Linked DNA regions of Arabidopsis thaliana. Each later gene encodes a partner of the first gene's protein in a complex. Each region holds a gene or a part of one and is shown in the gene's direction. Other genes may lie near its edges.

Region 1 (3,694 bases):
TGCGCTTCTTGTTATATCAAACTCTTCCATATTGTGTTTGAAATTTGCAGATAGCTCCTATTTATCTAGCATCGTGCGAGAAACAGGGATTAGGCTTATTAGAGCTGTTGTTCTACAGGCAGCCTGTTCAAGAGAATCAGATGCTTATTAAGGTTTCATTATTTCAGTTGCATTTGTACATCAATTCTAGTTCTGGTTTGTCGTTTACAATTCTAGGATCTTGTCAGAAGCCTTCACCTGGTACTTATGTTTCTCCTGTTGCAGAGCCTAGAGATTTGCCGTCTCTATGAACTCAGTAATGTCAGTGCTAAACTAATGAAGGTATTGATATATTGAGGCACTATTTTACGCTTGTATTCTCTAATCTCCAAATTGGGCGGAAAAAGGAAAAACAGATTTAATCTGAAGTTATGGTTTTCAGATTTCTGGAGTGCATCATTGGAAACATGGGAGGAAAGGCTCAGGGATTTTCTGGCTCCAGCAAGCTCGGGACGAAAATTGTCTCAGCGTGATTGCTCAACAGCTGTTTGATTCTGTTGGAAAATCATTGTCTGATGAAAGTCTCAAGGTATATATTCTCTAAGACATACTCAAAGCAAATTTCAGTATATAATTTCACTGTGGGTTCTTCTATCTGTGCCCTAGATGACGTTGTTTCATTTCATACATGCAGCAATGGGAAGGCCTAGTCGAGTTGCTGGGTTCGGAATCACAGATCTCTGGTGGTCTCGATTTTCTTCACAAGTAATTTGTCATCTCTTACTCTCTATGAAAATGACTTGTTTTTGTAAAAATCTACCCTACATTATTAATTGATTATTGATGCCATACATTCCAGGTATAGAGATTTCAAGAGATCGCTGAAGGTAGTCCATGATGGAAAAACTATAGATGCAGCTCATGAAGCCGTAGAGAGACTTGTATCGGTGTGTAGTACATCTTTCTTACACATTTTTCTCCACTGAATATTGTGAATTAATGCTATTTGAATTACTGCAGCTAATGAAGAGCCCTTCTACTCCTCAACGCTTCTGGCTTCCTCTTCTGCATGATTCAGTAGATAACCAAATCTTGTTTTCTTTCCTTTTATTTTCCAACTACGAGAATGCACCACTAAAAGAGTATTTGTTTGTGCAGTTGAAGCTGTTGAATTGGCCCGAACGTTCGCTGTTGAATGTAACACAGACCAACCTGATGTTGAACAAATTACAAGAGCTATCAATAGCAAGGTTAAGACCAGGCTTCATAGAATCTGAGTTGTCTGCTCAAGCTGTGGGTTCAGTGAGACTTGCTCTAGCAACAAATCTCGGACGTGCTTTTCTCGAAGAATGTTAGCGCGGGTTGAGGCTAATAAATCCATAGCTCGATATCTATTTGTGTGTATGGGTTTCGTACTACATTTAGTCTGTATTTTTCCATATCAAAATAGACTGATAGCACTCCAGTTTCCATCTTTCACTAGTTTGTAAGCTGATTGCAAAAGTAAAGCAGAAAAGAGAGGTGTTCTGACTGAAAACTGAAAAACAAAATTCGATTATTGTAAGTGGACCGGTTAAAACCGGTTTAGTTAGTCCTTGGAGAAAACGACACAGGCTGTGTCGTTTTAGAAATGTTTGTTATGAAGCTGGTCAATTCTATCTATTCATTCACAGGAGTCGAGAGAGAAATTAGCCATGGCGACCAGAGCTTTGCTCGCCGTTATATATGCGTCTCCGAATCGCTGCTACATCTCTCCGAGCAGGATCAAAATCCAATCTTTAACTTGTTCTTCTTCAAGTCATTATTACCAAAGACAGAGTAGAAAAAACCACAGAATAGCTCGAAGTTACTCGTCTGACTCGGATTCCTCCGTTCTTCAGCCGCCGGATGTGGCCCGTCTTGCTCAGACAGCTCGAATCTCTCTAACTCCGGCGGAGGTACTCGCTTTTTCTCTTTTATCGAATCTACTTTGTCCAGTTGAGTTCCGCTTCTTCGTCCATTGATCCTTTTCTTTTTTAGATAGAGGAATGTGAAACTAAAATTCGTCGAGTCATCGACTGGTAACTAATCTACCTCTTTCTGCACGAAATTGGCTTCCATGTTTATGTCATTGAACCAAAAGAGAAAGAATCAATGTGTTGTTGGATTGCTGAGAAATGCAGGTTTGGGCAGCTTCAACAAGTTGATGTTAACAGTGTGGAGCCAGCTATTAGAGCAGGTTAGAATCATAAACTTTTATCAATTATTACTCAACGTTCTTCTTTTATTTGGTCTACTGTATTTTTGATCTTATAAATTGGTTTCTGAAATCATTGGTAAAACTAGTTTGTAAGTAAGATTTGTTTGTTCTGTTTCAAGTAGAGAGACTCATGTCATGTGATACAGATTGGAGACTGTATAAGTCTTTCTAGTGTCTAGTCTAAGCACATTCTCTGACTAGGCAATATGGTTTTATACTAGTAAGAGGTCTAATTATCAATCTTGATCCGTTTTGGAAATCATGCTTATTTCAATATCTTGATGCCTTTATAAATCTCAAAAAACTTGTAGAAATGGATGGTGGAAATTTGCGAGAGGATGCTCCAGAAACATTTGACAACAGGTTTGATCTTTACACAATTTTCTTCATCTGCAATGATACCGGCTTTAAGATGAAAGCCATCTATTAAACTTAAGAGTTTTGATATTCCTCTAACAGGGACAGTATAAGAGCTTCCATTCCAAGCTTTGAGGACGCATATCTAAAAGTCCCTAAAATACTAAACAAAGAGTGACTTTTTCAGGTACTCTTCTTATCCATAGATGAGCAATCATAGTTTCCTGATTATGATCTAAGACCTGCCCATTGATTTTTTTTTTTTTGGGTGTATGTGTCTTTCATGTGCAGCTTCTTGGAATTGTTTGGCTGAAGAGATTCATTCTCAGATCCGGTTCTTGTTCCAGCATCTCTATGTTTTCTAAAATTGGTTAGCAGAAAACAAAATTGCCTCAAAATTGTTAAGTCTCACGTAGGCTATTATTCTACAACATTTTGTTCACAACTCACCACAACCTTGTGTGCATATGAAACTAAACTCAAACCAATTTTGAATAGTGTCTGTGATGGGCCGTTTTGATCCCAGCCTATTTTGAATCCTTTGCGTTTTTTTAAGCTCGATCCGTTATGAACTCGGACTGACCTATTGCTCTACACCATTCAAATTCATATCATTAGTAATTCCAAATGTCTTTCTTTTGTATTATGTTGCCCCCCGAATAGTTTTTTAAGTATTTGTTGAACACCGAACCAATAAGATTGAATTATAAATGGGCCCTAAGCCCAAAGTCCAAGCACACTTAAAAGTCAGCGAAACGCAGATAGTAATTAATTCCAGATCTGTGAAAAATATTACCACTGGCAATGAGAGCGCGTGCTAATAACTCGCTAAATTTATTTCAATTTCCGTGGTCTATATAGTCAGCCAAATCATCTAATTTTCCAAATATGCAAAAAATCAGCGCGTGAGGAGAATTTCACTGTTACAAACAGTTTGCGTCTTTTCTCTATTACCCCATTGTTTCAATTTTTGTTTTTTCTTTCACAAAATTAAAGTAATGCCAGAGTGATACTACGGGAAATTGCAGCATTTTCTGAGTTTCCTAACTGATCAAAAAAAAAAAAAAAAAAACTTACATTTGAGAGAGAAGAAGAGAAAGCTTGTAGAAATGGAAGGCC
Region 2 (5,249 bases), on another chromosome or scaffold:
CCTAAATTGACATTTTAATCGTATAATGTATAAACTAAACTCTATAGACAATAGTATAGGTTTAGGTTCAAACATTTGGTTTTGACTATAAATGTGAAATGCTTTAAATAAACATGCAAAGCATTTAAGCATATATCCAAAGATAGCTAACTTTGGTGTCTCAGGCTCTGTCATTGGTTTCAAACAGACAATACAAACCAAACCAAACAAAGCCTTGTACTGCCTGGAATTTTCTGACTTCATATACAGAATTTAATGACTCTTTTATTTTTTCAATATTTTTTTTGGTGAATTTTAAAAGTAGATATTGATGTTCAATTAAAGATGAGACAGTTAGGGGTTTTTAGTATAGACTGAAAAAATCTTCTTTTACTATTTACTTTGTTTTTTCTTAGTTTGCAGTTAGCTTTTTACGATCATTTATAGCTATTTTTTTCTCTCTTTCTTTTGTTGCTTTCATAGGCTCTGTCTCCATAACTCCACAAGTCATTATTAGTTGTTCATAGGTGACGGCTTCTGTACTTTTTCTCAGTATTTACTAAGACAAAAGCAAAAATAATTGTTTTTCTTGTTTTATAACTCGGCTGCAACAAGTTTTGGTTTTATGTAAAAGATTTTAGCGACATTAGATATTGAATTAGACGAAAAAGATGTCGAATTCGTGTCTGAATTATGTTTAACAAGTTTTTTATTCCCATTAGTAATATTTTACGGACTTGTTGAGTTAAATACTGAGAAAGTCTATTTCCCAAAACACTCTTTTTCCTCTATGTTTCAATAGGAATAACATAATATTTCTAACATTTTTTCAAACTTTTGATTATTTATATAATTATTGAAAATTACAATTTATGTCTATCGTATCATTCTTAAAAATTTCAATGGAGAATAAAGTATTTTCATTGTTAAATACGTTCTTACGATCTTTTTTTCCATTTCATCTTTTCTTACTATCTTATCCACAAGCTTGTGATTTGTGAATCAAAATTAAAAAGAAATTTATATTTTCCTTTTAATCAGTTAAATCCAATGAGATGTTCTTGGAATTGAAAACAATGATGATATTTAATAAATGATTCTTGCAAGTTTCAATGAGCCGTACGGATTAAATAGTAAAGTTAGTAATGAGTTTGGTTTTCTTGAACAATTTATTAACTCAACCCTCTGGCCAAGAGTTGAATGTTCCTGCAGTCCTTATTTCCTGGCTCTTTTTTCACTTTTTTACCGTAAAGTAATTTATATACAGTTAATGTAATTATTAATTTCCGTACAAGTTTTTGACACTTTTATCGTCTTGATTTGATTGATTTTGTTGGATGGAGTAAATACTTTACTCTATTTACTTACAAATTATATCGAGCTCTTTTGTTTAGTGTCATATCCTTAAAACATGTATAATGAATGACTAATACATGTCAACAAGGGAAAGCACAAATAACCAATGACATAAGTTCGTCATATTTTTCAATTTTTACGTCATACGAATAACATTGATTGGCTAGTTCGATTAAAACTCAAAAGCATGGTAAAGATTTTACAGCGGAAATACTTGAATGTATATTTTTACCAATGTTACCTAATTTCTAAAGACCTTCTCATTGTCAACTGTTTTAAGCTTAACATAAAATATATATAATTATCGTTACGTTAAATACAATTTTGGGAACATACATATAACATAATAGATAATCGTAAGTCGTAACTATTCATAACTCGTTCTACAGTCTACACCATCGCCGCCTTAACTTTTATTGGGCTTTAACGATAAGAAAAAATTGTATTGGGCTTTATTACCCATTTAATTTCGGCCCACTAATAAATCTTCTCTCCATGTTTTGAACACTGAAAAAAGTCTTATCCTGATGATTTCTCTCCTTCCTCGAACAGTCGCCGAAACATTTTCGCCGGCGTTACACCGGAGAATTCATCCTTCTTTGTCTTATTACTCTACTACCCAATTTCAGTTTAAACTCACTATCTTCCCAATTTGATGATTCAGTGATTCAAATTCGAAACTTCAAGCAATGTTATCGACATTGCAACCGCCGCGTTCTCTATCACTCCTCCCTCTACGCCGGTTCCAAATATCTAAAACCATCGTCTCCGCAGCTTCTTCGAAGACCATCGACACTTCCGTTATCTCTCCACCACAATCTCAAATTCTCACCACTCGTCGTTCACTCCTCTCCGGCGAAACCACAGCTGTCGAAATCGCAAAATCTTACCTTTCTCGTATCCGTCTCACTGAACCTCAGCTCAAATGCTTCCTTCACGTATCGGAGAATGTTCTCAAAGATGCTCAAGAGATTGATCAACGAATCGCTAAAGGTGAGGAATTGGGTCCTCTCGCCGGAGTTTTGATCGGCGTTAAGGATAATATATGTACTCAAGGTATGCCTTCTACTGCTGCTTCGAGAATCTTAGAGCATTATCGTCCACCGTTCGATGCGACGGCGGTTAAGAAGATTAAAGAGTTGGGTGGGATTGTTGTTGGTAAGACTAATATGGATGAGTTTGGAATGGGAAGTACCACTGAAGCTTCTGCTTTTCAGGTTTGTCTTATGAATCTTGTGATGATTGTTAATAAATTTGGAGCATGTTTAGATAGATGAATATGGTTTTGTTAGGGAGACTTGTGATGATGGTTTAGGATTGAATGATTCAGCAATGTTAATAAAGTTGGAGCCTTTATTTATGGTCTTATTGGGGAGCTTGTGATGGTATAGGGATTGAATCTTGGGGTTTGGTTTTGGTTTAAAGGTAACTGCGAATCCGTGGGATTTGAGTCGTGTACCGGGAGGTTCATCGGGAGGATCAGCAGCAGCTGTTGCAGCAAGGCAGTGTATGGTGTCACTTGGTAGTGATACTGGTGGAAGTGTGAGACAGCCAGCTTCGTTTTGTGGTGTTGTAGGTCTTAAGCCGACTTATGGGCGTGTTTCTAGGTTTGGGCTTATGGCTTATGCGTCTTCGTTGGATGTGATTGGGTGTTTTGGGTCTACGGTTGCTGATGCTGGGATGCTTCTTCATGCTATTTCGGGGTATGATAGGTTTGACTCCACGAGTAGCAAACAAGTAAGGTCTCTTGTTGTAGTTGGTTTCCTGCATTGTAATGAACGAAAGATGTTTTCTTTGAAAACAGAAACATATTTCTCTTTGTTCAGGATGTGCCTGAGTTCCAGTCTCAGTTTCTATCTGTGGATCATTTTGAGTCTAAACCATTGAATGGAGTGAAAGTTGGTATAATTCGCGAGACACTTGAAGACGGTGTTGATTCTGGAGTGAGATCTGCTACTCAGGAAGCTGCGTCTCACTTAGAAGCATTGGGTTGTATATTGACAGAGGTTATTTTCACTTTTCCCTTTGTCTCAGTTTTTCTTTTTCGTTTTTGTGTAAAAATTCTGAGATTTGTTGCCAAAATTTACAGGTCTCCCTTCCTTCATTCTCTCTTGGACTACCAGCTTACTACGTTATTGCCTCATCGGAGTCATCTTCGAATTTATCACGTTATGATGGTGTCAGGTAATCTCGGTATTATGACTTGACTCACAATATGAGTGCATCATGGATATAGAAAATGATATTGTTTCTTGTATTGGAAATGAAGATATGGTAATCAAGTTATGGCTGAAGAACTCAATAAGCTGTATGAATGTTCCCGTGGAGAAGGATTTGGAGGAGAGGTATGATTTCAGAATTTACTCCATCTGATTTAATCAACAAATGCTTGATTATAATCAATGACAATTTTGATTTCAAGGTGAAAATGAGAATTTTAATGGGGACATATGCACTTTCTGCGGGTTACTACGATGCTTACTACAAGCGAGCTCAACAGGTAAGCCGCATCTTCAAATGCAGTCAATAGAAATAGAACCTGTTTTGATAGATAAATGTATGCTCTTTTTGTTTGGTTGTTAATACAGGTGAGGACACTAATTCGAAAAGACTTCAAAGCAGCGTTAGAACAGAACGATATCCTTATTTCTCCGGCAGCTCCATCTGCTGCATACAAGATTGGTGAAAAGAAAGATGATCCACTGGCAATGTATGCTGGAGACATTATGACGGTAAAAATCTTTCGTAGTTTCTTTCTCTATTTAATCGTTGTTACACGAAACATAGTTTGTATCATATGAGGTTTGTTGCAGGTCAATGTGAATCTTGCCGGACTTCCTGCAATGGTATTACCTTGTGGATTAGTCGAAGGTGGTCCCTCGGGTCTTCCTGTTGGTCTTCAAATGATCGGAGCAGCGTTTGATGAGGTTTGTTATAAACTCTGTCTCTTTGCTTACTCTAAAAGATTAGATTAAGATTCACATGATGATTTGTTGATTGGTTTTAGGAGAAATTGCTGAAAGTGGGTCACATATTTGAGCAGACTCTTAAAGGATCGAGCTTTGTTCCTCCATTGTTAGCCAATGTAGCCTAACCATGTAACCACCAAGGCTCTTTTTGCGTTTACATTTCATGCTTGGTTTAAGCAACGGATTTATCAATTGTAATTGTACTTCAATTCTTTTATAATATAAATGTAGATACACCCCATGGGCCACATACGTATTCTTTCTTCTTCTTCTTCTTGGTCTCTATGCTCTTATTTGGTACTCCTAAATGGGGATGGTTTTTTTCTTTTATTCGTTTTTGATTTATTGGTCCTTGGCCCTTGCCATTGCATTCATGCACTTGATTATTGTTGAGTATCATGATTGATTAACACAATTTTTAAATATGTATATTTTGTTATAAATCTTGAGTAAATAAACTAAAAAATTGTATCAACTGAAAAGAAGTCCTTGCCATTGCATTCATGCACATGATTATTATTAATTATGGTTGTATCATGATTGATTAACACAATATTTAAATTTGTATATTTTGTTATAAATCTTGAGTAAGTAAACTTAAAATTTGTCCACTAGTACCAACACAAATCTTAATAAATGGTCAAAAGCATTACACGTTTCAAATAGATTATTGGCATTTTATAAAATGAAACTCTGGTGCTAGAGTATAAGTATAGACTACTTTAAAATTTCTAGAATAATTCTGAAGAAATCATATGTTATTACCTATAATTATGCAAACATATTAAAATCTCAGAAATCTAGTGGTCCAGACGAATATCTGTCTCCAGTGGACGATCAAAATCCAACGGATCATGCGTGTGCATGGTTTGACATTTACGTCTACTCCGTGAAAGTTGTCACATGAATATATAAACACATTAACCTATGAAAAGAGATTTTTGT

What was found. Proteins that work in one complex are often made in the same cells at the same time.
Region 2: AT4G32915 (region 1) and AT3G25660 share a complex: the UniProt entries of both Arabidopsis thaliana proteins name them as parts of the heterotrimeric GatCAB amidotransferase (AdT) complex.

What each region holds. Positions count from the first base shown.
Region 1 is NC_003075.7:15,883,876-15,887,569, forward strand, and holds AT4G32915 (glutamyl-tRNA(Gln) amidotransferase subunit C), read left to right. Parts: upstream 1-1,644; 5' UTR 1,645-1,673; coding exon 1,674-1,916; intron 1,917-1,998; coding exon 1,999-2,039; intron 2,040-2,141; coding exon 2,142-2,197; intron 2,198-2,529; coding exon 2,530-2,581; intron 2,582-2,677; coding exon 2,678-2,753; 3' UTR 2,754-2,762; intron 2,763-2,866; 3' UTR 2,867-3,169; downstream 3,170-3,694. Other genes in the region: AT4G32910 (nuclear pore complex Nup85-like protein), read left to right, coding at 51-152, 265-321, 422-568, 674-744, 839-926, 1,000-1,056, 1,138-1,335. UniProt on the Arabidopsis thaliana protein: Allows the formation of correctly charged Gln-tRNA(Gln) through the transamidation of misacylated Glu-tRNA(Gln) in chloroplasts and mitochondria. The reaction takes place in the presence of glutamine and ATP through an activated gamma-phospho-Glu-tRNA(Gln).
Region 2 is NC_003074.8:9,338,820-9,344,068, reverse strand, and holds AT3G25660 (Amidase family protein), read left to right. Parts: upstream 1-1,845; 5' UTR 1,846-2,024; coding exon 2,025-2,552; intron 2,553-2,760; coding exon 2,761-3,072; intron 3,073-3,161; coding exon 3,162-3,341; intron 3,342-3,424; coding exon 3,425-3,519; intron 3,520-3,604; coding exon 3,605-3,680; intron 3,681-3,757; coding exon 3,758-3,835; intron 3,836-3,923; coding exon 3,924-4,067; intron 4,068-4,148; coding exon 4,149-4,262; intron 4,263-4,342; coding exon 4,343-4,429; 3' UTR 4,430-4,727; downstream 4,728-5,249. UniProt on the Arabidopsis thaliana protein: Allows the formation of correctly charged Gln-tRNA(Gln) through the transamidation of misacylated Glu-tRNA(Gln) in chloroplasts and mitochondria. The reaction takes place in the presence of glutamine and ATP through an activated gamma-phospho-Glu-tRNA(Gln).